Linked DNA regions of Stegostoma tigrinum. The protein of the gene in region 3 binds, or shares a complex with, the protein of the main gene of each other region. Links are inferred from orthologs where the notes say so. Each region holds a gene or a part of one and is shown on either strand. Other genes may lie near its edges. The genes, in order: mybl1, arid4a, rbl1 and transcription factor E2F5-like.

Region 1 (7,438 bases), on a different chromosome or scaffold from region 3:
GGCACGTCAAACCCTGGAGAGAGTTTGTTTAAAAAACTGCAGATTATTAGAGTTGAGAAAGTTCAAGCTTTCAGATTTGTGGAAAAGTTCAGATCAAGAGATTTTAAAAGGAGTCATTAAACTGTCTCCATAGACAATGGGAAAGAACGTGGGAGGATCTGGTGGACTCTTTTGGGAGTAGACTGCTGAAGAATTGAGAACTGGCCCAGGTAAAATAGAATGCCAATGATATTGGTAGACAAAGCAATAAATGAGCCTGAAGTGGTCTCTGATGCAGAAAAGGTTGAACACAAGTCAAGGCAAAGTGTTACGAAGGAAAATTTTGGTCAAATGATAGGAGAAAGTAAAATGAAGCAGTGAATGATTCTGTATGATCAACATCAGTTCAAAATACAAATGAGGTCTAAACTAAATACAAAAATTTCAGCCAAGTGTGAGAAAATGGCAGAAGGAGTATAAGAGATTTGCAGTTAACCTAAGAAGGTAGCAAGAGGAGTGGCAGAACTCAGACATACTCATGGAGACAGAAAACATTGTTGAGTTATTTAATGACTTAGCGTCTATCTTCACCAAGGAAGATGTTGTGCAAGCCACAATGAAAGAGGAAGTTGAGAGACTTAAAGGCTAAAAATTTATAAAAGTATTAACTAAAGCAAAGTGTGGATTTACCAAGGGTGAATCATATTTAATTAATACAAATGCATTAAAAACTGCAAAGGCCTGAAAGATCATCATTAGGCAGCATGTGTGAAGAAAAACCGAATTACCGTCTGGCTGAGTACTTTTATCTTGTGTTTGAATTTCATGTTATTTAAGAAAACAACTTGAATTAAATTAGTTAAAAGTAACAGAACGTTTGAGGGTAACATGTTTAAAAGTCGTGTACACAGGCTTCTAAAAGATATTTGATAAAATGTCACATAACAGGTTTGCTAATAAAGTTGAATCCATAGGTAGTGGATACAAAGCTGGTTGAAAGACTGGAAACAGTTGTGGCGAATGGTTGATACAGGGTTCCCCAGAAGCCAGTGCTATGAACTTAATTTTCCTTAATCTATGTTAATGATAGATTTGTGTGGATGGCACAATTTCAAAAATTTAGATCAGAAAAAAAACTCGGAAGTTGTGCGAACTGAGGAACAGAGCAATCACTTCAAGGAGGTCAAAGCAGGTTGATGGGAGTGGGTAGATTAAATTTAATACAAACTGAAACTTACATTCTGTTAGAAAATTCAAGAAAAGGCAAGGAAAACAAACAAAGGCACAACTCTAAAGGAGTGCAAGAGGAAAGAGACCTAGGGTGTGTGTGTGTGTGTGTGTGCATGCATTGTGCAGAGTGGCTGGGACTGATTGAGAAAGCAATTAACACATCCTTCATTTATAAATAGAAGTAGAGTAAAAATTCAATGTAGTGATGATAAACCTCGTCGTTTATCCTCAACTGTAATTTTGTCTCCAAGAAGGGTGTGAAAGCTTCAGAGTGACAACAGAAAACATTGGTAAGATTAGTTCTAGGGATGAGGGGCTTCAGTTAAGAGAAAAGGCTACTGTCCTTAGAGAAGTTTAAGAGAAGTATTTGACAGAGGTGTTCAAAATCATCAGGGATCTAGACAGCATGGACAGGAAGAAGTTACAGTGCTACGTAAGAGTCAGAGGACACCAAGTTAAGGTGCATGATAAAACAAACAGTGCAAGGAAAAACAATTTTTCCAAACAACAACTGAGTGACTAAGATCCAGCATACACTGCCTAAGTGTGGGGTGGTGGCAAATTCAATCATGGCTTTCAAAAGAGAATTAGATAAGTAGCCAAAGTCTTTTTTTAAAAGAAAAGTTAGCTTGCAGAAAAAGATCAAGGGGAATGAGATTAGGTAAACTGCTCTTGTAGACAGACAGCTCAGGCAATAGGCTGAATGGTTCCAGTGTGGCAGGAAGCCATTCTACAAATCTGCTTGATAAACTCGTCATTTCAAATAAAATTATTCACCAGAATACCGAGTACCAAGAACGTATCAGGATAAACTAACTTATTTCCAGCTTACATGAAATGGACTTGATTTCTGTCATTTATTACATGGAAGAATAGGCAAGAAAACTTCAATCCATTTAGCTGGTACTCATTAAAACTATCCTGAAAATCCTATTTAACGCTTTCAAGATAAACAGTGGAATCCTCGTGAGATTCAGGGACAGAAAAACTCTGTATTCCTCTCTCCTCGTATTCCAACCCAACAGAAAAAAACAGAACCTGGGTAATGTTACTACATTGATTTATTCATGGTTAATCTAGGCCTACAATCAATTTGACAACTAAAGACGGCGGTGATTTGAACCGAATCCTAGCAATTGCTATTGGCCAACTACTGCCAATTGTACTCTTGGCCAGGTTCTGTGATCAGTTTTACAGCGATGTTGCACGCCCAGCTATGATGTGGCGTGTTATACCTCCAAAAACACAGGAATGACAACTCAACAGGTTGAAATTTGTCACGTTATACCTGATGCACTGTGCATATTCAACTTTGAACTTTAGCAGCTCCCTAATAAATTTACCTAGATGGACGTAAACATACGCAAACTGCCTTTTGCAAAACTAATCATAACATGACAATGATCCATGGGCGCTTCATTTAGTTTTGTTTTGATAATACATTTGTATAAGAATAGATGCAAACATCACAGGTCCCGTGTAACTCGCTGCAGGCAGCTGACAGCCAGTACAACTTCAAAAATAAAAAAAAAGACAGCTCAATGTTCCACGCTAGTAGTCCTGATGAGCGAAAAGCCACCCGCAGAGCACTCACCTCCGGGCTCGCTTGGCCATCACTGACAGGGACGATTGTCTCCCTTTTCTGCCTTTCCCAGGACTCCTCAATCACTCACTCCGCTCGGGGACTCCGGGATGGTTAGTCTCCGATCATTAATACATGGGCTGAAGGTCGCTGTTGGCTGCCTGAGTACCAGCGGTGGGGTCACCATATCCCCAAGCAGCCCGAAGAGAGAAAGAGTGTATTTGTGTGTTTCTCTCTATATATATATATATATATGTGTATGTATGTACGTGGCTATAGGGGAGCTCAGCTCTCCACTGCTGCCTCTCAGCCACTCTCACTGCTCCGTTTCTATATCCCGCCAAATCTCGCGCCCTGCCTTCCCTCTCAAACACTCCCCGACAATATTTGAATGTGCGCACGCGTCCTGACCGTTCATAGGGCCCTCCGTGCGAGGGGGGCGGCGCGAGCGGCAGCGCGGGCACGTGACAGGCACACTGGAAATTGTAGTCCACATCGAAGCCCGTGCGCCTTGACGGCGAACTTCGACTGCATGCGCACTTGACAGGCACTCTGGGAATTGTAGTCTATATGGAAGCCGTGCGCCTTGAGAACCAACATCGAGTGCGCCATCTTGTGTGGGTCCCAAACACCGCCGCTGCTGTTGGCAGGCGATGGGCAAGTCTGTCATTGATGAGTGCCTGTTGCAAAAAAACCTAACCATAATGTGACAGTTTATTTCAATTAAGTCCTTTTTTTTGTTAAAACATACGTAACAAGAATAGCCAGGTCGGTGTAGTAGTATCATAGAATCCCTGCAGTGTGAAAGCAGGCGACTCGGCCTGTCGAGTCCGCACCGACTGTCTCGAGATCCAACCCAGACCCACACCTGTCTTTCCCGTAGACACTGAGGGCAATTTAGCACGGCCAATTTGCCTAACCTGCACGTCTTTGGACTGTGGTAGGAAACCCACGCAGGCACGGGGAAAATGTGCAAATTCCACACCGTCACACCCGACGTTGGTATCGAACCCAGGTCTCTGGCAGCAGGGCTTACCCCTGAGCCACTGTCACACCTAGTGTCCCTACTTCTGAGACAGCAGGCCCGGGTTCAAGTGCCACCTGAGCCCAAAGTGGGTTATAACATTTCTGAACGGTAAAGATCAAAAAATATCGAAAGGAATAGATGTAAACATCGTACTCAGCCGGTCTGTTGCGAGAGAAACAGCGTTAATGTTTCAAGTCCAATGACCCATTCGTCAGATGAAGTTTCTCTAGCGATTTCTGCTTTTGTTTCAGATTTCTATCATCTGCAGTTCTTAGTTTTATCGTCGTAGTTTCAGCATATCTCACAACGTGTATGTTTGTAATAAACCTTTACTCGAGTTACAAACCGCAAATTATAGAATATGGTCCCATCTTGGAATGAATGTATTTTCTCCCCCTAACCAGCAACATCATTAGACTCTTAATTCCAGACTTCTTATTAAATTCAGTGCCACCGCTTGCCATGGGAGGATTTGACCATGGGTTCCCAGAGCATCACCTGTATCTCTGGATTAGTCCAGGGATAATTTGGCTGGGCCATCACCTCCCCACACTTTAAAAAGGCCCTTGCTCTCAAAGTTCTCACTGAGAGGTTACAACGTTTGAGACTTCGAAATGGTGTCAGAGCGAGAAAAAAATCTGAGGAGTGGTGTTTGTGTTATTGCTATCTTTATGTTGTACCTTTCTGTTTCTTCTGCTTATGTTCCTGGAATAAGTAGACAAGGGTTTAACTTATTAAAAAAACTTGCATTTATAGGTAACGCAGTGTAGAGTAGGAGGAACACAGCAGGCCAGGCAGCATCAGAGGACATGGGGCTAGTGTTTAGATTCCTACAGGGTGGAAACAGTCCCTTCGGCCCAACAAGTCCACACTGCCCCTTGCAGCATCCCACCCAGACCCATCCCTCTATAACCCACACACCCCTGAACACTATGGGCAATTTAGCATGGCTGATCCACCTAGCCTGCACATCTTTGGACTGTGGGAGGAAGCTGGAGCACCTGGAGAAAACCCACACAGACACAGGGAGAATGTGCAAACTCCACACAGACAGTCGCCTGAGGGTGGAATCGAACCCGGGTCCCTGGCGCTGTGAGGCTGCAGTGCTAACCACTGAGCCACCGTGCCGCCCTAGTGGGGAGTGTGGAGCAGACGAGGGAGTCATGGAGAGACCGGTCCCTATGCAAGGCAGATAGTGGTGGGGAGAGAAATATATCTTTGGTTGTGGGGTCGGATTGCAGGTAGCAGAAATGACAGAGAATGATACGTTGAATATGGTTAGTGGAGTGATAGAATCCCACTTGTTCTCATATATCTTTGTTTTTGTTGCAGAAAGGGATGTGAGGGCAGAGGTGCGGGAAATGCAAGAGATGTGGGTCAAGTGCATTTTTGACCACCAAAGTTGGGTGGGACAGGATGTTGCGGTCCTTGAAATAAGAGGACATCTGGGATGTTTGGTAGTGGAACCCCCCCCATCTTGGGAGCAGATGCACCAGAGGTAGAGGAATTGGGAGTAGGGGATCCCATTCTTGCAAAAAGGTGGGTAAAAGGAGCTATAGTCTAGGTAGCTGTGGGAGTCACTGGGCTTGAAATAAATGTTGGTTTTGAGGCGGTTACCAGACATAGAGATATCAATATCCAGGATGGAGAGAGAGGTATCAGAGATAGTCCAGGTGAACTTGAAGTTGGGGAGAAAGGGGTTAGTAAAGTTGAGGAACTGTTCAAGCTGTCTCAGTGACTCCCTCTTCTGCTCCACATTCCCCACTAGCCCCACCACCCCTAGCACCTTTCCCTGCAACTGCAGGAAGTGCTACACCTGCCCCCACACCTACCCCCTCACCTCCATCCAAGGCACCAGACAAACCTTTCACATCAGACAGAGGTTCACCTGCATATCTGTCAATGTGGATTATTGTATCTGCTGCTTCTGATGTGGCGTCTTCTACATCGGTGAGACCAAGTGGAGGCTCGGAGACCGCTTTATAGAGAACCTGCATTCTGTTCGCGACAGACGACAACACCTTCTCGTGATGAACCATTTCAGCTCCCCCTCCCTGGGCGACATGTCCATCCTGGGCCTCCTCCAGTATCACAATGACACCGCCTGGAAACTGAAGGAGCAGCACCTCATATTCCATCTTGGGAGCCTACAACCCAATGGTCTCACCGTGGACTTTACTGGTTTCAAAATTTCCCCACCCCGGCCTTATCCCATGACTAAGCCTCTCTCTTATCCCCGCCTCCTTGATCTGACACAATCTGTCCATCTCCTGTCCCACATATCCGCTCTTCCCACCTCACTGACCAATCCCCACCACTGCTTACCTGTGCTCACCTATCACCATTCCACCTACCTTCCCCTGCTCACCCCTCCTCTTCCATTTCTTAAGGGTCCTGTCCCAAACGTGAATTTTCCTGCTCCTGTATGCTGCCTGGCCTGTTGTGTTCCTCCAGCTCCACACTGTATTATCTGACTCCAGCATCAGCAGTTTTTACTGTCTCTGACTGGCATTTATATCAGTTTTTTCACTGACCCTAAGAGGCCCCAATGCAATTTACAGAAAGCAAGGTATTAAGTACAGTTACTTATGTAATGATTTTGCATTAAATATCAGCCTGAATTATTTTTAGATTTAAATACCCCTGCAGACTCATTATGAAACAGGAGCTTTACTGGAACACATCTTACTGTTCTGTTTTACGTCTTCCACAAACTTGTACGATCACCATATGACATCACATCACTTTCAGACATAGATTAGTACTAATCTATTAACAGTCCATTAAAATTCACACCGCCTCCATCTTCTCAAAATCTCTAATGGTGATTTCTGGATTGTGAAAAGCAACAATCCACAACCTTGAACTCTGGTATATTCAGTTCTTAAATGTTGTTTTCTCCTCATGTCCTTTCTCCATTCCTCTTTTAAAGACCACAATGGTTGTCCCCATATGAGTCTATGTCAAAGGGTCCTTGTCTCCTCTGAAGGGAACAGAAACATTGAAGATAGCAGGAGGCAGCCCTTCAGCCCTTTGCTCCTGCTCTGCCATTGTTCATGTTATGCTGATTGTCCAACTCAAAAGCCTAACCCTACTTTCTCCCCACAACCTTTGATCTATTTTGCCTCAAGTGCTATATCTAGGCACATTTTGAATACGTTCAGTGTTTTGGCATCAACTACTTCCTGGGGTTATTAAATCCACAGGCTCACCACTTTTCCGGTGAAGAAATCAGGGCTTTGAGTCCAGCACATTGTCTCTTAGACTTTCCTAGGCAGGAGGGAATTGATAGCTGACTTTGACTTGCAATGCACATTTTCAACTGATTTGATGAATGGATGCAGTTTCTCTGATTTATTAAATTGGGTAGATGACTGCGTCCACAGGCTACATGGCAACCAGTGCAAGCCTGTTCCATCTTACCTCATTACACAGCCTATTATTTTAATGATCTAGGGCCATGGATGTTATGTCACAAACACTTGTCCACAGTAAGTTTGGCATTAGATCCAGACGAACTTGCCTAGTTGGAGTGTGCCTCATCATATTTGAGGTAGTTTCACATCTAGCTGGAACAGTATTTGTGCTTATAACTTGGATGCGTAAATGAGAGCAGGGAT
Region 2 (7,591 bases), on a different chromosome or scaffold from region 3:
CATTATTTAAGAAAGGTGGTAAGGAAAAGCCAGGGGACTACAGTCCAGTGAGTCTGAGGTCGTGATAGTGAGTTGTTGAAGGGGATTCTGAGGGACAGGATTTACATGCATCTGGAAAAGTTATGGACTGATGAGGGATAGTTAACAAGACTATACATGGGAAATGCATATCACTAACTTGATTGAGGTTTTGAAGAAGTAACAAAGAGGTTTGATGAGGGCAGATATTGTCTATACAGACTTCAGCAAGGCGTTGACAAAGCTCCCCACGGTAGATTGATTAGCAAGGTTAGACAATAAGAAATGCAGGGGCACCTAGCCAAATGGATTCAAAATTGGCTGAAAGCAGGAAACAGAGGGCGGTGGTACAGGTTTGTTTTTCAGACTGGAGGCCTGTGGCCAGTGGTGTGCTGCAAGGAGCATCACCAGGTCCACGACTTTTTGTTATTTACATAAATGTTTTGGATGTGAATATAGGAGGAATGCTTAGTGTGTTTGCAGATGACACCAAAATTGGTGATTGTAGTGAACAGTAAAGGTGGCTATCTCAGAATACAACGAGACCTTGATCAGATGGGCCAATGGGCCAAGGAGTTGCAGATGTAGTTGAGGTTAAATAAATGTGAGGCATTGCATTTTGGTACATCAAACAAGGGCAGGGTTTACACACTTAATGGTAGGGCCCTTTACCAAAGGGATGTAGAAGTGCAAGTGCATAGGTCCTTGAAAGCAGAGTCACAGGTAAGCAGGGTGGTGAAGGCAATGTTCGGCACACTTGCCTTCATTGGTTGGTGCGCTGGCTACAGCTATAATAGGACATTGATGAGATCACTTTTAGAATACTGCATTCAATTCTGATCTCCCTGCTGTTAGAAAAATTTTGTTAAACTTGAGAAAAGATTTACAAGCATGTTACCAGAATTGGAGGGTTTAAGCGAACAGGCTGGGACTTTTCTCCCTCCAGAGCATCAAGGCCGAGGGATTACCTTATAAAAGGTTGATAAAATCATGACGGCTGACAAGCCAAGGTCTTTTTCCCCAGGGTAGGGGAGCCCAAAACTAAACGGTGCAGGTTTAAGGTGAAAGGAGAAAGATTTAAAAGGGACCTGGGAAGCAACTTTTTAAACACAAAGGGTGGTGAATGTATGGAACAAGCTGTCAAAGATGACAGAGGGAGGTACAATTACAATGTTTAAAATTATCTGATGGCTACATGAGTGGGAAAGGTTCAGTGGGATATGGGCCAAATGATAGCAAATGGGACTAGATCAGTTTGATACCTGGTTGACATGGATCAATTGGACTAAGGGTCTGTTTCTGAGCTGTATAACTACGACTCTATAACAAACTAAAGGGATGAAAGCTTGCTGAGTGCTATTACACCTGCAACATTACACCCAAATAAATAAAGTTAAAAAGATCAGTTTGTGAATGCTGTTGCACCTGGAAATCGTAAAAACGCATGAAGATTGGAAGGCAAATGCCCATTGAAAAAAAATTACATAAATTATTGCAGTTACCATTTGTGACAACACCCACCAAACATCAGGCTGTTTAATTTACATATTTGTAATGGACAAATTTGAGGAGAATAGAGGCACAGTTCAGAAGTAGTTCTACAGCAACACACCAAAGTTTCAGGGGTTTCTTCACAAAATCACTGTTGTGTTATTCTTTGCATTAACTGCTTTCACTCCATATGTAATTTGAGTACACCATTATTTTACTTGTTCTGAAATATTTTTAGAAGTTTCATCCATGAGTCTAGTTCAAAAGATCAGTTATTGGTCATGCAAATCATCTCGTTTTAGATATTTATCACATCAGCGCTCTGAACAGAATTAACAAGCATTCTTACTACTAGGCCGACTCAGCAGTTCAAATAACCGTTCAATTAAAAAGAATAATCGGTCTGAGACGGTCAAGCATTACGACTACGGACAAAAGTGGATAACGTAACTCGTCAAAAAGAGAAACGTTGTTAAGAAGTAATGGAGTCAATACAGACAACTTACCTTCATTTTCGAGTGTCCTATTTACGTGAGTGCTTCCAGCTCGAAGTTGTGATCACTGCAGTTAAGCAAAAGATATGATCATAGTCGACTCGTTAAAATTAAACTGCAATCTACAAGGACCATGTAACACACCAAGCTTTCAATGTACTCAGATGTAAATAACATGTTTTCCCTTCGTCGTACTCTACTTGCCCTATCCAGGGGAAGCTACGAAGTTCATATACACGAAATTTTTAAACAATACATTAAATAAATTACTGTGAGATCAATGAAGATACATTTGAAACGCGATGTGGATTTTTAGGACAATTTAACTGCCCCTTCCCGCTTGTTCCTCCATCCTGAGTCACGTCGCCATTGCTCTCTCGATTTCTGCACCATGTCAGTTCAACAAGCTCAGATCCTGTAGTACAATTATGGAGGTGTCCCGGCAAATCAGTCGCCTTCTCCGCTCATAGATCGACAGCCAAACGCACCCTCCCCCTCCAACACCCTCCTACGAGTAGAAAACCCTCGTTTACCACCACTTTTTCTTTGCAGTTCGATACGAATTTAGAAACGCACTCTCTGTAAAGAAGCAAGTGAGACCAGTACTTCAAAACAGGTCGATGGGAAACAGTGGCGAAGTTAAAAACAGGACTGCCTCGGACCGCCTTTTAAGCCCGTCCCCCCTCACATCTAAGGCGCTTTAACAAAAATCGCGACGATCGAGGCTCTTACACATGAATAAAAAAAGCAGGAAACCACCGTAAACATACAAGTCACCTTCGCACCGTCCCAACAGATTATAAACCTTGGTTCTCAATTGAACTACCGGTCCAAGGACAGCAGCAAAATGCATAAACAGGCGGGCAGTGGAGAAGTCGGAGCTGACTGCCATTCAATGCCCCCTACGTTCACTTTAAACCGAGAAAAGGGGGAAAGGGCTCCGGCGAATTCACCTCAGCTTCATAACCGAGGACCAGCCAACCTCCGCCCACGACGCTGTTTAAAAGCAGCCAAATTATGTTTTGCACTAAGCCTACAGAAGTGAAAAGGCCAACGAGACTACTGGAGGAACCGCATACTCACACACGTCCACCGCTAACGTCCACTTCCCCGGGTCCCAGCGAAAACCGAAATAACAAGCTGTTGAGCGAGCCTGCCTTTCTCGAACTCCGATTGGCTGAATGTTGAGCAAGACGGCCGCACCACTCACCGATTGGCTGTGCGGTCACATGGAAACGGATCCGAGCGGCCTCTGAGGCCCAGAGTGCAACGCATCCCCCGCCTTCTGCGCACGCTCTGTAGCCCCAGACGGCGCTTGAGCCGTGCGCAGGCGCAACTGGGAGAGGTGCTCCGGCGCCATCTTGGTGGCGATTTTTGCTGTTTGAGGTCCTGTTGAAGCGGCGGCAGAAGCAGCGACCGCGAGGAGGTTCAGCTGGACCAGGAAATTCTTTGCTTTCAGCTGCTGTTTCGCGGGTTCGCCGTTGTTTTTTCATCGGAACTCTTAGAAAACTGTCTAAAGTAAGTTTTAGGAATGTTGCGGAATGTAAAAAATGTTCGAGCGAGTAAAAATAAAAGGTCAAATGGAGGCTATTTCTCTTCTCGTCATTGGGGAGTTGGTTCGATTCAATGGCGTCTTTGATTGTTAGTGCGTCATGGAGCTGTTACGTTCCCGGAAACAGCTGCGGCTGTAAATAGTGTGCACGCGGCGTGCACGAGGGGTTTTGTCCTGTCAGAGTCCAAAGTTGTTACTACTGCTGCTGGCCATACAAAGTTTGTAGTACCCAAAAAGACCAGTACAATATAAAACTTCATTTGTGGTTAAAACTCACATGGGGGGGAGACGAGAGCGCTAATTTGCATTTAAGTAATGCTAAACCTAGTAAAGTAACCAAAGGTCGCCCTTCGAGTGCATATACCCAGGCAGAAATTTATATTTATTTTGAAGATTCATCTGTAAATTTTTCATGGCTATTTCCGTGGCTGAAGTATCAGGAAAACGTGGTGTCAGTTTTCTGGCCTATTCATCGAGAAGTGTACTATGTTTTAAAGATAGTATTAAAGAATCTGAATCTTTAAATTGTTCTCATGTTACACCCATACTCTGACGTTAATGCAAAACCAAGTTCGTGGCTGTCCTCAGTTCTTTGAACGTTTCAGAACGTGTTCTAATTTCCCATTCTATCCTGATTGGCCCTTCTGTGTTCTTCAAGTTTTTTGGTTGTTGCAATCAAATGTATCGTTTTATCTCTGCATATTTTGAGACCTCTTCCTTTGAATTGTTTTCTTCCCTTTTTCCTGCTATTGCTAAATTTGATCAGTGTTTTATCCATCTAGCTTTCTATATTCTTCATCATTGTCTTCACTTGGGGACTATGTACAACAACTACACGTTCAGAGTTAAAGCATTTACCAGTTGACCTGGCCCCTCCATTAGTTCACCACCCATTCTCCTTGGCCAAATGCTTTCACAACCCTAAGATTATTCTGAAAAATGAGAATGATACAAGTCTTTTCTGTCACAGCACCATTATTTCTTCTTGTGATATGTTTTCACAAAGGATATTATCAAACTAGAAACTGTTAGAAAAGATTTGCCAGGATGTTGCTGTGAGTGTTTGTTATAAAAGTAGGCTAGGACATTTTTCACTGGAGCACAGGAGGTTAAGGAATGAACTTAGAGGTTTATAAAATCATGAGGGGCATAAATAACATGAATAGCAAAGGTTATTTTCCCATAAGGTAGGTAAGAACTTAACATTTCCATGTTTTGAAGAGAGGATAATTTTTTAGAAAGGACCAGAAGGGCAACTACTTCTTTTACATTTAGTTTGTGTGAAACGAACTGCCAGAGGATGTGGTGGATGCAGGTACACTTATAAAGTTTAAAAGGCATTTGGATAAGTACATGAATAGGAAGGTTTCAAGGAATATGGGCCAAACACAGGCTGGTTGGATCAGTTTAGTTTGCCGACATGGTTGGCGTGGACTAGTTGAACCTAAGGGTCTGTTTCCATACCGAATGACTCTGATCTCATGGATTTCTCCAACTCGGTTGAAAACCCTTTTTTCTATTGTTGTCTCCGCTTTTACCCAAATTACTCCTTTCTCTATCTTGTTTTCTCATTCATCCTATTTCTATGCTGTATCTGTGATAACCAGTAAAGTGCAAGGTGTTGTTTCTTATTACATGCACACTCCAAGCTTTTCTCTTCGGTAGGACTTAACCCATACTGTATAGATTTTCCTCCCAACTCAACTGATTGCTCAGTAGACCTTTAATAGCAGAATACCATGGATGCTGAAAGTCTGAAACACATACAATGCTGGTGAAATTCAGATCTGGCGGTATCTGTGGAGAGAGACAGTTAATGTTTTGAGTTCAGCTTGACTCTTCTTGAGCCAAAAGTCAAGATAAGCTGGGACTGATATGCTTAAGAGCAATAGTATCGTCGTTTTACTGCTAATTTAGTAACTCTTTACGGGCCAGCAATCAGATCTTGGATTGGTTGAACATTCACTGATCTGCAAGAGCCATGTTCCTTTTCAGTTGATATTTTGCATCCGTTTTTTTAATTACCTTGAGGTTTTCAGGGAATAGATATATAGGCCAATATTCTCTTACATGAGTTCTAATACAGCAAAGAACAACACTGGATCTTCAAAAAATGCAGCAAGAATGTCATCTTTGTACTGTGGCATGTAGCCTATGTTGTAATCAGTGAAATTGTCTCTAACTGAACACATACAGTTGGCAAGAAGACAATGAAATGCTTTCAATGCATCCAAATCTGGATTTGATTAAACCAAGAAGTGAAAAGTCATACTGTACAAATGATTTTTTAAACTTCTATTTTCTCCTTTCCTATATTTACAATAGATATGTTACCAGATCCAGTGATGGAACTGACCTTTTCCTGTTGCTTCTTGCTTTTAAAATTGACCAATGTCAAAACTGGATTAGACTGATTTTAGAGTAATGCAGTCTGCTGTTTACCAGTCCATGAAATACATCTTAACAGATGCATTGGTTTTTGCATATTGTGTAGGAGATTGCCAGACTGAGAAAGTGGTGGATCCTTTCCTTCAGACATTCTATTAATAGTTTCAATCCCTCTGGTTGGTTAAGTGTAAAATAGAGACATTTTCTTCATTTGTTACTTTACTCCTAGAGCTGGCACCTAAAGCATCTCTTTTTTTGTAATGCATGAAACCATAGCATACAGAGTTTACAAGGCCAGTTTTTATTGTCAACAAAGATGTGTGGAAACGGTTGACAATTTTAACAAACACACACACACCCAATATTCCCCCCCCCCACCCCGACATCAATGTTAAAGATTGATTTACCCTATTTTGAAGTAGTGGAGTTGTTCCTTCAACCAACATCACTCGAGTAGATTATCGGACAGGATCTTTCTGGATGTAAATTGCCATGTTTTTTGCACTAGATGAAGGAACTATCACTCTCAGAATGTAATTGACTGAAATAGGCTTTGGGGTCTCATGTGGTGTTTAAACGAGTGACTTTAAATAATTCTTCTTTTTGGAAGTTAGAATTTTAATTGTTGATGCTGCGGAGTGTTGTCTTGGAAATCTTTTGATAGAATTAATTGATTTTTAAAGCCATTGTGGCTAGGTGGCGTTGACCTGTTTGTGGAGCTCCGCTCTCCTAGACTGGTAGAAAATTCAAATGCTTTCCATCCTTATGTCTTGAAGTAAGACCCAAAATTAGTGATTCAGATTTCCCTTTGAGCCCTTGTTGAAACCATGGAGAATCTCACTAAGATTTGACCATTTAGGGTTATGTTTTAAACCATGCTAAGCAAAATTTAAGAATATCAGAAACTTGATTTTCTTGCACCTAATCCCTGAACTTGGTACTTTTTGAGGAAGGAAAATTGTAATGATGCCATGTAGAATTTTATAAAATGAAATCTAAATCAAGTAACTTCATGTGAAATAAACTGTTTGAATGCATTTATAGATGTTTTGTGTGCAGTAAATTTTGTTGCAAGATAATTATGCATGAGGAAGGCCTACTAAGTCATGAATAAGGTCTCTATGTCTCAGTTGGACATAAAAGATTCCATGGCAGGACTGAAAGAATGGTTGAGTATTCCCTATTTCCTGGGCAATTTTAGTCTCACAACCAAAATTACTAAGACAGATTATCCACGCTATCTTCTTTTTGTATGTGAACCTTTTATTGAAATAAAATTGTTGTTCAAAATCAGGTTAGAAATCGTGAATTTTTGTTCTGAAGAACAGTTCTTATCACGTGATATTTTTGGCTAATTATATAATTTTGCACTAATATATGTTGTATCTCGCTCTCTCTTATAAATCTCGACAAGTAAATAACCCAATCTAAAACGTAGGAGCTGGAGAAGCTATTATGCTTTGGATCTTGCTCTACCAGTCAGTAAGACAAAGGTTGATCTTCCACCTTTGCTCCATCTACTCTCCATAATCCCCACTTTCCTTAATTCCTTTGTATCTTAAAAACATCTTAAACTCTGGCCACCTATTACACATGGCTATCCTTTGTAGCCATTTCCTCTGTTCCATATGCACACTATACTGCATTC
Region 3 (7,051 bases):
ACTATCAATACTGCTCCATTCTAGACAATAAGCAGTTCACTCCCACACAAGCGGAATTGCTTCTCCTGTTCTCTGCATCTACCTGTGTCATAAAGAATGTTACCTTAACTTTGATGAGCGGAGGATTCTTGTCAGTGACACACCGTTTCCTTCCATTGTCCCCTTGCCAACAGTTGGCGTGATACTTTTGCGACAGGCTACATACAAGGCACATGCAAGCCAGTGCAGAGTTTCTCCCTGAAACAAGCATTAAGAAACGAGTCCATTAAAAATAGGAACACAATCAGACTAGTCTGTCCAGACTGGTGTATCACTCAGTATGGGCGTGACTAACCTTTCAGTTCAACTCCACATTCCCACTTGCTCTCCATATTGCTAGGTTCTGAAACGTCAAAAGATCTCTCACCCTTGAACATATTCAGTCAGAAGTCACATGACACCAGGGTATAGTTCAGATTTATTTGAAATCACAAGCTTTTGGAGTGCTGCTCCTTCGTTGGCTGAGGTGAGGTGACATCACCTTACTGAAGAGTTTTGTTTTATTCAGGAGTAGTTAATAGTTAAGGGGGAATTGTTTGTTTGTTAGTAGTTTTGCTAATTTGTTCACTGTTAAAGTTAGATAAGTAAATTGTTACATTTTGTTGATTGAGTAAGTGAAAAGATTCCATTTTATTTAACCACTCCTTTACAACAGATTGGGGATGACCAGCTGGTTATAACACTTTTCATACTTCTTTTAACAGATTTTTGGCAGGGGGGGGGCATCAATTTCCGCTTCATAACACATGCAGTGATTTTAAAAAGCTTTAATGAGATTTCTCAGAGATAATAGGAACTGCAGATGCTGGAGAATCCAAGATAAGTGTGGAGCTGGATGAACACCTCAGGCCAAGCAGCATCTTAGGAGCACTTAGGAGATGTGTTCACCCAGCTCCACACTTATCATTAATGAGATTTCTCCTCATTTTTCATGGCCCCACACAAGGGAATCCTCATATTCCAGGATCCAATCGAGTAAATCTTTGTTGCACTAAATAGATATACGTGAGCTTAGATTTGGAGACCAGAAGTGTACATAGTACATAACATATGCTCACACCAAAGTCCTGATCTCCACAAAATGAATTTGAAATCACTGAAATAATCCTCAAACTCCATGAACTATTCCACTGTTTCACTGCAACTTCACCTGGGTTAACATACAATAGTTCCCCAGGTGCAATATCAACATAGAATTGATAATTAGGACATTCATGCAGGCATGACTATTGAGTGAAATGTTCTTTAGCTTTGATTTTGTAGCAAATGGGCAGGCACAAATAGAATCAATCCAATTTACAGCACAAAATATCAGTGAAATTATAAATTGAAAGTGAGTTTAACTCTAAATTGAAAAATGCATTTAATGACTCAATCTATTTCTTCTGTTACAGATGTTTATATTGCAACTATTTTTCCTTAGCAATAATCTTAATTATTGGAAGGAAACAAGTGAAACTTGCAGAGTGACCAAGTTAGAGACAAGTACAAACATAAAGCAAATTCCACAACACAGAAATGCAGCTGGTGTGTTTTAAAACCAACCACTACACACATCACTTCCGCACTCATCAAAAAGACATCATATATCACAGAAATGATCAGCAATATACTAGTTAACCACAAACTGTGTTTTCAACTGTTCTATTTATTGAATGTGGTAGTGGTACTGCATTAATAATCAAGAGAAATTTAAATTCTCAGTTTAAAAACTTAAATTCCACACAAATGAGGTTCACACTTTAGACCACTCTAGATAGGAGCAGCATTAAGCTCTTCAGCACATCAAATCTGCTCTGCCACTTGATCATGGCAGATATGTTCCTCGATCTCCTGCCCTCTCTCCCCCATCCTTGTTCCTATTGCCAATCAAGAACAGCTATGAGTTCCACAAATTAACTATCCTCTGGCTGAAGGAAGTCCTCTTCCATTCTAAAGGATGGTCCCTTCACTCTGAGTTTGTGCTCTTGGGACCAAGTCTCTCCTACAGGTAGGAGCATCATCTTCATGTCCAATCTATTCAGGCGTCTCAGTATTCTTTAAGTCTCAATGAGATACATTCCCTCAATTCCAAAGCCTTTCCCCATTTAGAAAGCAGTCAATGCCTGTATGCTTCCTGCCAAAGTACTCACTGCCGCAGCAGGCTGAGGAAGCCAAATGGTTGACTGTATTTAAGACAGCAATTGATTCGTGAGGGGATCAGGGGTTACAGGGAGAAGGCAGGATGATGGGTTTGAGCAACACATCAACTGTGATCAAATGGGGGCACAGACTAACATATAGAACATAGAACAGTACAATACAGGCTTTGACTCACAATGTTGTGCTGATCTATTATCCTAAGATCAATCTATCCTGCTTCCACTACAGTTTACTACCCTCCACATGCCTGTCCAAAAGGCTCTAAAATATCTGACTCTATTACCATTGCTGGCAGCGCATTCCACACACTCACCACTCTCTGTATAAAGAACCTACCTCTGACATCTCCCCTATGCCCCCCTCCAATCACCTTAAAATTATGTCCCCCTCGTAACAGTCATTTCCGCCCTGGGAAAAAGTCTGACTATGCACTCTGATCATCTTGTACACCTCTATCAAGCCACCTCTCATCCTTCACTGCAATGAAAAAAGCCCAGGCTCCCCCAACCTTTCCTCATAAGAGCTGCCCCACCACACCCCACCAAATCCAGGCAGCATCCCAGTAAATCTCCACTTGATAGGCTGAATAGACTAATTCTGCTCCTATATCTTATGGTCTCAACTCCAACGCTGTAGTTGAGATAGACCGGGGTTGGGGAGGCTCTGCGACGACCCCTACTCCCAGCCACCCTCACCTCCAGAGTGTAGTTGAGGCGGATCCGCTGCAGGTTCTCCCAAGCCTCGGCCCCGCTCTCCAGATCCATGTTCAGGTCCTGACACAGTTTGTCGAAGCTGTCACGCAGTGACCGCCTGCCGCCGTCCCGGCTCTCTCCGCTGGGCATGGTGCTGGCTCTCCCTCCCGGCTCAGTACCTGTCTGTCGCTTCCCGTATCCCTGCCGGTTCGCTCTGACTCCGTCCCTCCGACTCAGTCACTCTCTCCCACCGCGACTGCCCCGGCTCCACTCGGACACTAATCCCACAGTACACCGCGGCAGTGGCGCCAAAAACCCGCGCATGCTCGACCAGGTCACCACGCCCATTCTATAAATAGCCCGGAAAGAGTAGCTCGCACAGCCGGATCACCGCGGAGCACTCGGAACCTAACGTCACCCATACTCCGCCGCCCAGCCAGAAAGTACCTGAGACCTCCACCCCCCTACCCCCACCCCACCGGCATCACCTTCGCTCACTCACCGCGCCCCCCCCGCCTCCGGCATCACCTTCACTAACTCCCCCCCTTTTTACCCGTTTCACTTTCTCTCCCCCCGCCCTTTTTACCCGTTTCACTTTCTCTCCCCCGCCCTTTTTACCCGTTTCACTTTCTCTCCCCCCGCCCTTTTTACCCGTTTCACTTTCTCCCCCCCCATTTTTACCCGTTTCACTTTCTCCCCCCGCCCTTTTTACCCGTTTCACTTTCTCCCCCCCATTTTTACCCGTTTCACTTTCTCCCCCCCCTTTTTACCCGTTTCACTTTCTCTCCCCCCCCATTTTTACCCGTTTCACTTTCTCCCCCCCCTTTTTACCCGTTTCACTTTCTCTCCCCCCCCATTTTTACCCGTTTCACTTTCTCCCCCCGCCCTTTTTACCCGTTTCACTTTCTCCCCCCCATTTTTACCCGTTTCACTTTCTCTCCCCCCCCATTTTTACCCGTTTCACTTTCTCCCCCCCATTTTTACCCGTTTCACTTTCTCTCCCCCGCCCTTTTTACCCGTTTCACTTTCTCCCCCCCCATTTTTACCCGTTTCACTTTCTCCCCCCGCCCTTTTTACCCGTTTCACTTTCTCCCCCCCATTTTTACCCGTTTCACTTTCTCTCCCCCCCCTTTTTACCCGTTTCACTTTCTCCCCCCCATTTTTACCCGTTTCACTTTCTCTCCCCCCCCCTTTTTACCCGTTTCACTTTCTCCCCCCGCCCTTTTTACCCGTTTCACTTTCTCCCCCCCATTTTTACCCGTTTCACTTTCTCCCCCCGCCCTTTTTACCCGTTTCACTTTCTCCCCCCCATTTTTACCCGTTTCACTTTCTCTCCCCCCCCTTTTTACCCGTTTCACTTTCTTTCCCCCCCCTTTTTACCCGTTTCACTTTCTCCCCCCCATTTTTACCCGTTTCACTTTCTCTCCCCCCCCTTTTTACCCGTTTCACTTTCTCTCCCCCGCCCTTTTTACCCGTTTCACTTTCTCCCCCCCCATTTTTACCCGTTTCACTTTCTCCCCCCGCCCTTTTTACCCGTTTCACTTTCTCCCCCCCATTTTTACCCGTTTCACTTTCTCTCCCCCCCCCTTTTTACCCGTTTCACTTTCTCTCCCTCCCCATTTTACCCGTTTCACTTTCTCCCCCCCCCCCCATTTTTACCTGTTTCACTTTCTTTCCCCAGCCTCAGCATTTGAACCAATTTCAACTTGACCTTTTGCCATCTTGCCCACCCTCTCAGAAATGGTCAAATTGCAGAATGGATTTCTCAAGAAAGAACAGCTGAATTATATGCAATACTACTGGGAATGATTTGCTCCTACTCCTGTTCAATGGGTTCTGGAAGGATCAGCAGATTCTAACACAGGGAGAGCAGGTGCTATTTGAAGAGTTGCTTAGATGGTTGTTTGGGAGTTTGTGTGCTGTCACCAATTCTACATGTTCTCAAGCAAATCCCTTAATGCATTTGTGCATTTTGAAATGATTCTTCCCCACTTCAGTCAAAACCGATCCAGGGATTGCACGAATTGACAGGAATGCTTCAAGCACCTCAACAAAACCACTTCCACTGCCCTCCCGGCAGACCCCTGTAAAAACTAAGTTCAGACCAGAGCAGCTGCTTTGGGAGTCTATCAGATCAACAAATGAGATCCTGCCCACAGCAACTGGTTTGTGGAAGGGTCACTGGATATCAAACATTGTGTCTATTTGCTTCCATAGATGGAGCCAGACCTGCTGAGCTTCTCCAGCAGTTTGTTTTTGTTTTCAATCTCCAGCGTTGACAGTTCTTTTGTTCTATGATTCTGCCAGGAATAATTGCTGGCCACATTGTTGGGGGAGGGTGCTGCTGTTGGACTGCCTTCCTTGCCTCTTGATTTGGTGGATCTTGTGAACACACCACTGGGTGCTAATTTACTCATAGTCTGATGTGGTTGTCCAAAGCACATTGAAAAGAGAAGTTCTCCTAAGATGCTGCCAGACTTGCTGTGTGTCTCCAGCATTGTTTGTTTCTCCAAATTATTGCTTTTCAGCAATGGAAAAGAGAGAGAGAGATCAGAATGCTGAATTCCAACATTGTCAACGTACAGCAGTGGGGGAAAATAGATAGCACGGCATAAAGTCCATCCATCCAGAAAAGGCCCCCATTGACCAGTAGTCTGTAAATCAAAAAGGTAAACCGACGCCAAGGATGCACTCGGATTTCCTTTTGATTCCCCATTCCATGCTCTGCTGTCCCTCTTTGAAATCATTATCCAAACTCCACTGTCATCACTGTCACAGAGAAGCTTAGTTATAGCTAAAGTCCAGCATTTACAATCAATATTAAGTCAATGGAGTGCAAAGTACTGAGTAGAAAAAAATTAATGTGTTTAATAGCCCCGAAAAAGAAATTTCCCTTGACTGGAATCCCGAATAAAACATCAATGTTACAACGAATGCTAAATCAGTTAAGGATGAAATTAAGAAGGACTTTTACTACATAGAGTAGCAGAACTCTGGACCATTTTCTCCAGGCTATAAATGTTGTGTTGATTGTTCCCAATCACAATTCAATGTTGACTGAGAACAATAGATTTTTGTTAGTTAAAGGGATCAGGAGATAAGGAACAAAGGTGTGTAATGTTGAGATAGTTTATGGCAATGATATAATTGTGTGGCAGTGTAAGGTCTCAAGAGATTAAATGGTCTCCTCCTATCCCAATTTAAATGAAGTCACACCCCAACATTACGTAAATTCTGCAAAGGCATTTGATAAAACTGACAACCATTTTGGGGCAAAGATGTAATCACATTGATAAAGGTCTGTCTTGCTTATTAAAGTGAGTCATCAATCAAGATGTTGGGGACTACGCAACATTTTACAATGCAAGGTAGATTTTATTCTGAACATTTTCAACCAAGTGTCTTGCTCAGGTAGATTTGCACAAATACTCCCAACACAAAGCACTAAAGGGAAACTAAATGAGGATTCTCTCTTCTGGTATGTCACACAAGTTTGTGAATTCTTATCTTCCAGACTGTACAATACAGCAATAACAGACACTTCCTCTGATGGAGGTGAAAATAATAATTATTTATGCTAAACAATAGATCCTCTTTATTGGATAATCTGTTTCCTAAAATCCTTACATTACTTTCCATTACTGATCAAAGTCTGAAGGAGGTCAGAAGGCTGAATTCCAATTGTTCTGTCAGATACAGCTGAAGCTGCATGTCCAAGGGAAGAACTGGACCACAAATTAATGCTAGTTCCTTTTAAAAGCAAAACTGAAAGAAACTAAACACGTCTCAAGCAAATTTTCTTTTTTAAAAAAGAAAAACCCACCCCAATAGCAGATTCTTCCATTAAGCAAATGAGACGGAAACTCTTGCATGACCTCAGACATCAACACCGCTCTATGCCGGGTTGTTAACTTTTTATTGAGGCTTTCGACAAGTCAGGTACAGTATTTAGATACAAGAGCAATTATATCAGTAGGTTGGGGATATTGATACAAAATAAATGAGGTATCCAATACGCAGCATTGCAACATTGACTAAATTTGAAAACAACGTCACTTCCTCTAAGGCTTTGTTTTAAGAATAGGAACCAGGATGAAATGATTGAGAGCAGAGGGAATCCGTGCCGGGCTGCCATTAGTGTAGACAGGGGAAAGCACAGTAGAAAGAGGCCTTTTTTT
Region 4 (7,613 bases), on a different chromosome or scaffold from region 3:
TTCCCAAATAAATGGCAGTTCCCAAAATTCTAAAAGCATATAATGTACGAGAATGATAAGACTGACTTTAAAGTGAAGATATTTGAGATTTGGTGCTTCAACAAGCGGCGCCAAGGATGTCAATGTTATATTCCTAGGGAACAAGGCTGAAAAATTGTTGGTTCACAATCCAAATTAAATGTTTTTCCCTGGTGATGTCCAACACAAAACCCATCTGCATCAGTACTTCTAAATATGCTGAATCAAAATAATCTCCTGTTAAAAAAAAAACTTCAGATTTAGAATGTTTTTATTTTGAAAGCTGGGCTGCAGAATGCTAAAGGGGACTTGTTGGCATCGTTTTATACAAGTCCATTCCATCTTCAAGGTGAAAGTCTGCTGGAAAAAAAATTCAGCACTTTTTAAAAGAGCATTACTAAGGTACTTGATTTTTCTGGAGGTGGGGTGACGGAAGCTGGAAAGATGACTCATTTCAGAATAGAAAAGATCCTCCAATCAAAACTGCAAGTAGAAAAAAATGACATTATACAAAAAGTAACAGGCAAAGGTCTGGTCTCTGGCTAGGGAGAACAGGATGGGATTGGGAAGCAACAGCATTTCAGGAATTATGAAATACTGATAAGATCAGCAACTGCAGGTGTCAACTGTAGCTCAGTGGATAGCGCTATCATAGTCAGAAGGTCAACTCCAAAGATTTGCACACAAAAACATTGATCAACAGTCCTATATTGTACTGAGGGAGTACTGCGCTGTCTGAAGTGCCATCTTTAAATTAAACATTAGTCAATGTGTCTATTTTGATTCAGCACAAATAATCCCCTGTAAAATAATAAGCCTTCAGATCTAGAATGTTTGTGTTTTGAAAGGTGGGCTGTAGAATGCCAAAGGAGTCTGTGGCAATATACCATACAAATCCATTCCTCCTCAAAGGTGAAATTCTATTGGAAAAAAATATTCAGCACTTTTAAAAAAGAGTATTACTAAAGTACTTGATTTTCCTCCAGCAAGATAATTCATTTCAAAATAGAAAAGATCCTCCAATCAAAACTGTAAGGAGAAAAAAATGACATGGCACGAAAAGAACAACTATCCCCCTCTAATGAGAATAATGTGCTGTACATTTCTTAACTGTATGATGCAAATTGATTTTGTGTTGTACATGACAAGGGGATAAAACTTAAATTGGTAGTTGTCCCTCAGGTTGTAGCCAATATTTATTGCTTAGTCAACATCACTAAAATATATTAGACAAGATGTCCATCCTGGGCCTCCCCCAGCATCACAATGACACCACCCGGAAACTGGAGGAGCAGCATCTTATATTCCGGCTTGGGCGCCTACAACCCGACGGTCTCAATGTGGACTTTACCAGTTTCAAAATCTCCCCACCATTGGCCTCATCCCACGACCAACTCTCCCTCTCGTCCCCACCTCCTTGTCCATCTTCTCTCCCACCTAACTGACCATTCGCCACCACTGCCTACTTGCACTCACCTATCACCACCCCACCTACCTTCCCCACCCCTCCTATTTATTTCAGAGCTCCCTTGCCCCCACTCCTCCCCCATTTTTGAAGAAGGGTCCCAACAGGAAATGTCAATTTTCCTGCTCCTCTGAGCTCCTCCAGTTCCACACTCTTATCTCTGACTTCAGCATCAGCAGCTCTTACTATCTCTGAGGCATTGTTGTTTGAAGATCATGCTTGGTACAAATTGGCAGCTGAGTCTCCACCCATCATCATTTCTACCCTGTGACAAAGCTAGTCACACTATATTTTTTCCCAAACCCTTTCTTTTTATATCTACATAGAAAAGTATACTTCAAAAACACTGTTGTGAAGTGTCTGGGACATCCTAGGTACGCTGAAGTCACTGTGTTAATGTAGCTTTTTTCTCCAGGATGAACACAGCTGACCTTGATAGTTATAGTTCCCCTGCTTTTGGATAACCCACTTCGTGACAAACATCAGCCTATCTACTGTGGAAAAACTTTCTGTCCCATTGTGAGCACTAAATTTAAATGTCACAATGTTTTCCTGATCAGTCTCATTTAAATTTCATATTCCAGGCAATTTCACAGACTCTTTATTCATGAGTGATCCATACAGGAAAAGCAGGTACCAATGTTTGGGATTTAAAAATATTACCTTGGATTTAAATTCCTCTATGTTTTACCAATCTCAGATGCAACTTCTTTGACAGTGCTACAAACACCCCATCCACAAAAACTTTTCATGCTTGAATTTCATTCTCCCTTCATTCTATACAAGGATTAATAATTAAAAACCACACTAAACAAACTTTAGGTCACCCCTCTTAATATCTTCGACTATTCATCCAGTTTTGACTACATACCATTGTCGAGCACCTTGGGGTATTTTACTACAGCAAATTCGTTATACAAGCGCTCTCGCAGGGCTCTTGTGGTGCCATGGTAGCGCCCCTACCTCTGGGTTCAAGTCCCACCTGTTGAGAGCTGTGTCACGACATGTCTGAACAGGTCGATTAGAACTATCTATAAATGTTACATGTTCTTAAATCAGTTGCCGAAATGGAACGATTGATAATGAAACAGGCAAGTAACCCATTCCAGATTCAGCACCACACCTTTTATAAGTTTGAAAACGATTATTTCCTCGTTTATAAAATAACGCACTTCCAATATGAAAATTAAAGAAAACGTGTTATATGGTTGCATAGAGACTGTGCCACAAATTATTCCCTTCGGGGAGCCGACAACAATCAGCACCTACGCTCCGCTACAAGTGAATCAAAAAGGATGGGTGAGTGAAACGTGTGAAGATCGTGCTTCAAGAATGCTGAGGGAGCTGCTGGACTGGTCAGCAGCAGGAGATGCCTCGCAGGTTTTGTTTTCACACATGTGCTCTCTCCCCTGCCATTGCTGGCCTGGCCCTGACCTGCTTGAGGTCCAGCACTCCGTCCTTGGCCTCCTGCAGCAACGACACGAATCGGGTGGTGAGGAGCCCGAGACTCTTCTCGTGGCGGCTCGAGGCCGGACTCGAGCCTGAACCTCGGATTCCGTGACCCGTGCCGTTCCAACCGCTCTCTTCACGGACAGACTCGGCCATCACCACGGACGATTGTGACGTCACCGCGACTAAAGCTTCACCACCCACCCCACTTTGAAGACTGTCCAGCCAATCAGATACCGCGGAACAGTGTTCAAAATCCAGGAAGTGACGTCTGCGACACGGCAACGCCATGGTAACCGGGCAGCGCAGTTAGTCCTGGCGACAGTTGGTAGATGAGGTTGAATGCTACTTTATTTCGAGACCCAGGCCATGGCTTTAAGTGCAAGGGGAAACAAAAAGTCACTGTACTGTTCAATGAAAACAAACTTCGAAGGATTTCCAAAAACTGCCACAGGCAATTTACACACGGACGGCCAGCCCAACCTTAATCCGGTGACTCTAAGTGGATCAACCTGCTTCTCCAGCACCCAGTACTGCATTGGACAGAATTTGTCTCCCATTCAACATTGGGGGACACCATGCTAGGAATATATACACATAAAAATAATACACTGTAGATGCTGGAAATCCGAAATGCAAACAGAAAAGTGCTGGAGAGGTTCAGCAGATCTGGCAGAATCTGTGGAAAACAGTTAACGAAATGTTCCGAAGGTTAATAGGACTTCAGTATCACCAAAGCTATGTCACTGTAATCACATCCAGCCCCACAAGCTTCCGAAATATCTGGATTCCTGCAATTCTAGCTTTTGCGCATCCTGGATTTAAATTGTTCCATTATTAGTGACTATTCTGTTATTTGCCTGGACCATAAAAGTGTGGAATTCTATATGTAACCCTCTGTGACTTAATTTCATTCTTTATGATGTTCCTTAAAAATTTGCCTCCTTGGCTAAGTTTTGGTCATTTGCTGTGATATTTTATGGGTCGCTGTCAAGTTTTATTGGAGAAAACCAATGTGAAGACTCCCATATCATTTTATCACATTAACAATGCTATGAAAGTTGTTGCTAGACTCAACTATCTGGCGACTTCATTGGGGAAACAAAGCTTAGCAGAACTACTATGTCCTGCAAAAAAGACCATGAACACCGAGTTGTTTCAGAGATAGGAACTGCAGATGCTGGAGAATCTGAGATAACAAGGAATGGAGCTGGATGAACACTGCAGGCCAAGCAGCAACAAAGGAGAGGGAAGGCTGACGTTTTGGGGGGAGACCCGTCTTCAGAAATGGGGGAGGGGAAGGGGGTTCTGAAATAAATAGAGCGGGGGAGGCGGATAGAGGAGAAGGTAGATTGAGAGGAGACATACAGGTCAAAGAGGCAGGGATGGAGGCGGTATAGTTGGGGAGGTAGGGAGGAGATACGTCAGTCCAGGGAGGCCGGACAGGTCAAGGGGGCAGGAAGAGGTTAGTAGGTAGGAGGAGGGGATAGGTGGGAGGAAGAGCAGGTTAGGGAGGTAGGGGTGAGCTAGGCTGGTTTCGGGATGCAGTAGGGGGAGGGGAGATTTTGAAGCTTGTGAAGTCCACATTGATACCATTGGGCTGTGGGGTTCCCAAGCGGAGTTGCTGTCCCTGCAACCTTCAGGTGGCATCATTGTGGCACTGCAGGAGGCCCAGGATGGACATGTCGTCTGAGGAATGGGAGGGGGAGGTGAAATGGCTCACAACTGAGAGGTGCAGTTGTTTAGTGCAAACCGAGCGTAGGTGTTCTGCAAAGTGGTCCCCAACCCTCTGCCTGGTTTCCCCGATGTAGAGGAGGCCACCACAGGAACGGCGGGTGCAGTATACCACATTAACAGATGGGCATGTGAACATCTGCTTGATGTAGAAAGTCTTCTTGGGGCCTGGGATGGGGGTAAGGGGGTAGGTATAGAGGCAAGTGTACCACTTCCCGTGGTTGCAGGGAAAAGTGCCAGGTGTGGTGAGGCTGGAGGGGAATGTGGAGCAGACAAGGGAGTCACAGAGAGAGTGGTTCCTCCAGAAAGCAATAAGAGTGGGGAGGAAAAAATGTCTTTGGTGATGGGGCCGGATTGCAGATGGCGGAAGTGTCGGAGGATGATGCATTGGATCCGGAGGTTGGTGGGGTGGTATGTGAGGATGAGGGGGGTTCTGTTTTGGTTGTTGTTGAGGGGACGGGTGTGAGGAATAAGTTGCAGGAAATGCAGGAGACATGGTCGAGGGCGTTCTTGACCACTGAGGGGGTGAGGTTGTGGTCCTTGAACTGCGAGGACATCTGAGATGTACAGGAGTGGAATGCCTCATCCTGGGAGCAGATGCAGTGGAGGCGAAGGAATTGGGAATAGGGGATAGCATTTTTGCAGGAAGGTGGATGGGAGGAGGTGTATTCTAGGTAGCTGTGGGAGTCTGTAGTCTTGAAATAAATATCAGTTTCTAGATGGTTGCCAGAGGTGGAGACTGAGGTCCAGGAAGGAGAGAGAGGTATTAGAGATGGTCCAAGTGAACTTAAGGTTGAGTTGGAAGGTGTTCTGTTCTGGTGAACTGTTCGAGCTCCTCGTGGGAGCACGAGGCGGCACCAATACAGTCATCAACGTAATGGGGAGAGGTGGGGTTTAGGGCCAGTGTAGGTACAGAAGAGGGATTGTTCCACGTGACCTATGAAGAGGTAGGCAGAGCTTGGGCCCATGCAGGTACCCATGGCCACCCCCTTTATCTGCAGGAAGTGGAAGGAATTGAAAGCGAAGTTGTTGAGGGTGAAGACAAGTTCAGCTAAGCGAATGAGGGTATCAGTGGAGGGGGACTGGTTGGGCCTGCGGGACAGGAAGAAGCGGAGGGCCTTTAGGCTATCTGTATGGGGAATACAGGTGTATAGGGACTGAACATCCATGGTGAAAATGAGGTGTTGAGGACTGGGGAATCGGAAGTTCTGGAGGAGGGGAGGGCATGGGTGGTGTCACGGACGTAGGTAGGGATTTCCTGGACCAAGGGGGAGAAAATGGAGTCGAGATAGGTGGAGCTAAGTTCAGTGGGGCAGAAGGAGGTGGAGACAATGTGTTGACCAGCGTAGTCAGGTTTGTCACAAAGTCATTTATCTCCACCTATCTCGACTCCATTTTCTCCCCCTTGATCCAGGACCTCCCTACCTATGTCCGTGACACCACCCACGCCCTCCGCCGCCTCCAGAACTCCCAATTCCCCAGACCCCAACACCTCATCTTTACCATGGACGCCCAGTCCCTATACACCTGCATCCCCCATACAGATGGCCTAAAGGCCCTACGCTTCTATCTGTCCCGCAGGCCCAACCAGTCCCCCTCCACTGACACCCTCTACCGCTTAGCCGAATTCGTCCTCACTCTCAACAACTTCTCTTTCAATTCCTCCCACTTCCTATAGACAAAGGGGGTGGCCATGGGTACCTGCATGGGCCCAAGCTATGTGTACCTCTTCATAGGTTACATGGAACAATCCCTCTTCCGTACCTACACTGGCCCTAAACCCCACCTCTTCCTCTGTTACGTTGATGACTGTATCAGCGCCGCCTCGTGCTCCCACGAGGAGCTCGAACAATTCATCCACTTCACCAACACCTTCTACCCTGACCTTAAGTTCACCTGGACCATCTCTAATACCTCTTTCTCCTTCCAGGTGCTCTCTGTCTCCATCTCTGGAAACCACCTCGAAACCGATATCCATTTCAAGCCCACCAACTTCCACAGCTACCTAGAATGCACCTCCTCCCACCCACCTTCCTGCAAAAATGCCATCCGCTATTCCCAATTCCTTTGCCTCCGCTGCATCTGCTCCCAGGATAAGGCAGTCCACTCCTTTGCATCTCAGATGTCCTTGTTTTTAAAGAACCGCAACTTCCACCCCGCAATGGTGGAGAATGTCCTTGGCCGTGTGTCCCGCATTTCCTGCAACTCATCCCTCATACCCCCTCCCTGCAATAACAACCAAAACAGAATCCCCCCTCGTCCTCACCTACCACCCCACTATTACTACACTTCATCCTCCGACACTTCCGCCATCTGCAATCCGACCCCATCATCGAAGACATTTTTCCCTCCCCACTCTTATCTGCTTTCTGGACGGACCACTCTCTCCGTGACTCACTTGCCTGCTCCAGACTCCCCTCCAGCCCCACCACACCTGACATTTTTCCTTGTTACACCTGCCCCTACACCTCACCCCCATCCCAGGCCCCAAGAAGACTTTCCACATCAAGCAGATATTCACCTGCACTTCTGCTAATGTGGTATACTGCATCCACAGCTCCCGTTGTGACCTCTTCTACATCGGGGAAACCAAGCAGAGGCTTGGGGACCGCTTTGCAGAACACCTACACTCGGTTTTCTCACTAAATAACTGCACCTCTCAGTTGCAAACCATTTCAACTCCCCCTCCCATTCCTCAGATGACATGTCCATCCTGGGCCTCCTGCAGTGCTACAATGATACCACCCGAAGGTTGCAGGAACAGCAACTCATATTCCGCTTGGGAACCCTGCAGCCCAATGGTATCAATGTGGACTTCACAAGCTTCAAAATCTCCCCTCCCGCTACTGCATCCCGAAACCAGCCTAGCTCACCCCCGCCTCCCTAACCTGTTCTTCCTCCCACCTATCCCCTCCTCCTACCTCAAGCCCCACCCTGATCTCCTACC

What was found.
Region 1: rbl1 (region 3) and mybl1 share a complex: the UniProt entries of both Homo sapiens proteins name them as parts of the DREAM complex. The link is inferred for Stegostoma tigrinum from reciprocal best matches to the Homo sapiens genes RBL1 and MYBL1.
Region 2: the proteins of rbl1 (region 3) and arid4a are in contact, whole or in part, in a crystal structure (PDB 7SMC), measured with the Homo sapiens proteins. The link is inferred for Stegostoma tigrinum from reciprocal best matches to the Homo sapiens genes RBL1 and ARID4A. Residues at the interface, in NP_002886.2 of Homo sapiens: Tyr849, Ile850, Lys853, Val854, Thr860, Phe861, Gln862, Met865, Lys866, Arg869, Tyr879, Arg880, Asp929, Leu930, Ile931, Tyr934, Asn935, Val939, Ala946, Leu947; in NP_002883.3 of Homo sapiens: Leu957, Val958, Cys959, His960, Glu961, Val962, Asp963, Leu964, Asp965, Asp966, Leu967.
Region 4: the proteins of rbl1 (region 3) and transcription factor E2F5-like are in contact, whole or in part, in a crystal structure (PDB 5TUV), measured with the Homo sapiens proteins. The link is inferred for Stegostoma tigrinum from reciprocal best matches to the Homo sapiens genes RBL1 and E2F5. Residues at the interface, in NP_002886.2 of Homo sapiens: Ser1000, Ala1001, Leu1002, Leu1003, Tyr1004, Lys1005, Phe1006, Asn1007, Ile1017, Met1020, Ile1021, Gly1024, Glu1025; in NP_001942.2 of Homo sapiens: Met162, Ile190, Ala192, Pro193, Ser194, Gly195, Thr196, Gln197, Leu198, Glu199, Val200, Pro201, Ile202, Pro203, Glu204, Met205, Tyr213, Leu217.

Annotation. Positions count from the first base shown.
Region 1 is NC_081358.1:31,539,214-31,546,651, reverse strand, and holds the start of mybl1 (myb-related protein A), read right to left. Parts: upstream 3,158-7,438; 5' UTR 2,824-3,157; coding exon 2,804-2,823; intron 1-2,803. UniProt on the Homo sapiens protein: Transcription factor that specifically recognizes the sequence 5'-YAAC[GT]G-3'.
Region 2 is NC_081363.1:50,107,999-50,115,589, reverse strand, and holds the start of arid4a (AT-rich interactive domain-containing protein 4A), read right to left. Parts: upstream 3,125-7,591; 5' UTR 3,089-3,124; intron 3,057-3,088; exon of another isoform or gene 2,957-3,056; intron 2,919-2,956; exon of another isoform or gene 2,781-2,918; intron 2,769-2,780; exon of another isoform or gene 2,537-2,768; intron 2,071-2,536; 5' UTR 2,022-2,070; coding exon 2,016-2,021; intron 1-2,015.
Region 3 is NC_081372.1:1,760,435-1,767,485, forward strand, and holds the start of rbl1 (retinoblastoma-like protein 1), read right to left. Parts: upstream 3,145-7,051; 5' UTR 3,024-3,144; coding exon 2,877-3,023; intron 238-2,876; coding exon 104-237; intron 1-103. UniProt on the Homo sapiens protein: Key regulator of entry into cell division. Directly involved in heterochromatin formation by maintaining overall chromatin structure and, in particular, that of constitutive heterochromatin by stabilizing histone methylation.
Region 4 is NC_081358.1:85,387,382-85,394,994, reverse strand, and holds the start of transcription factor E2F5-like, read right to left. Parts: upstream 3,127-7,613; 5' UTR 3,089-3,126; coding exon 2,918-3,088; intron 1-2,917.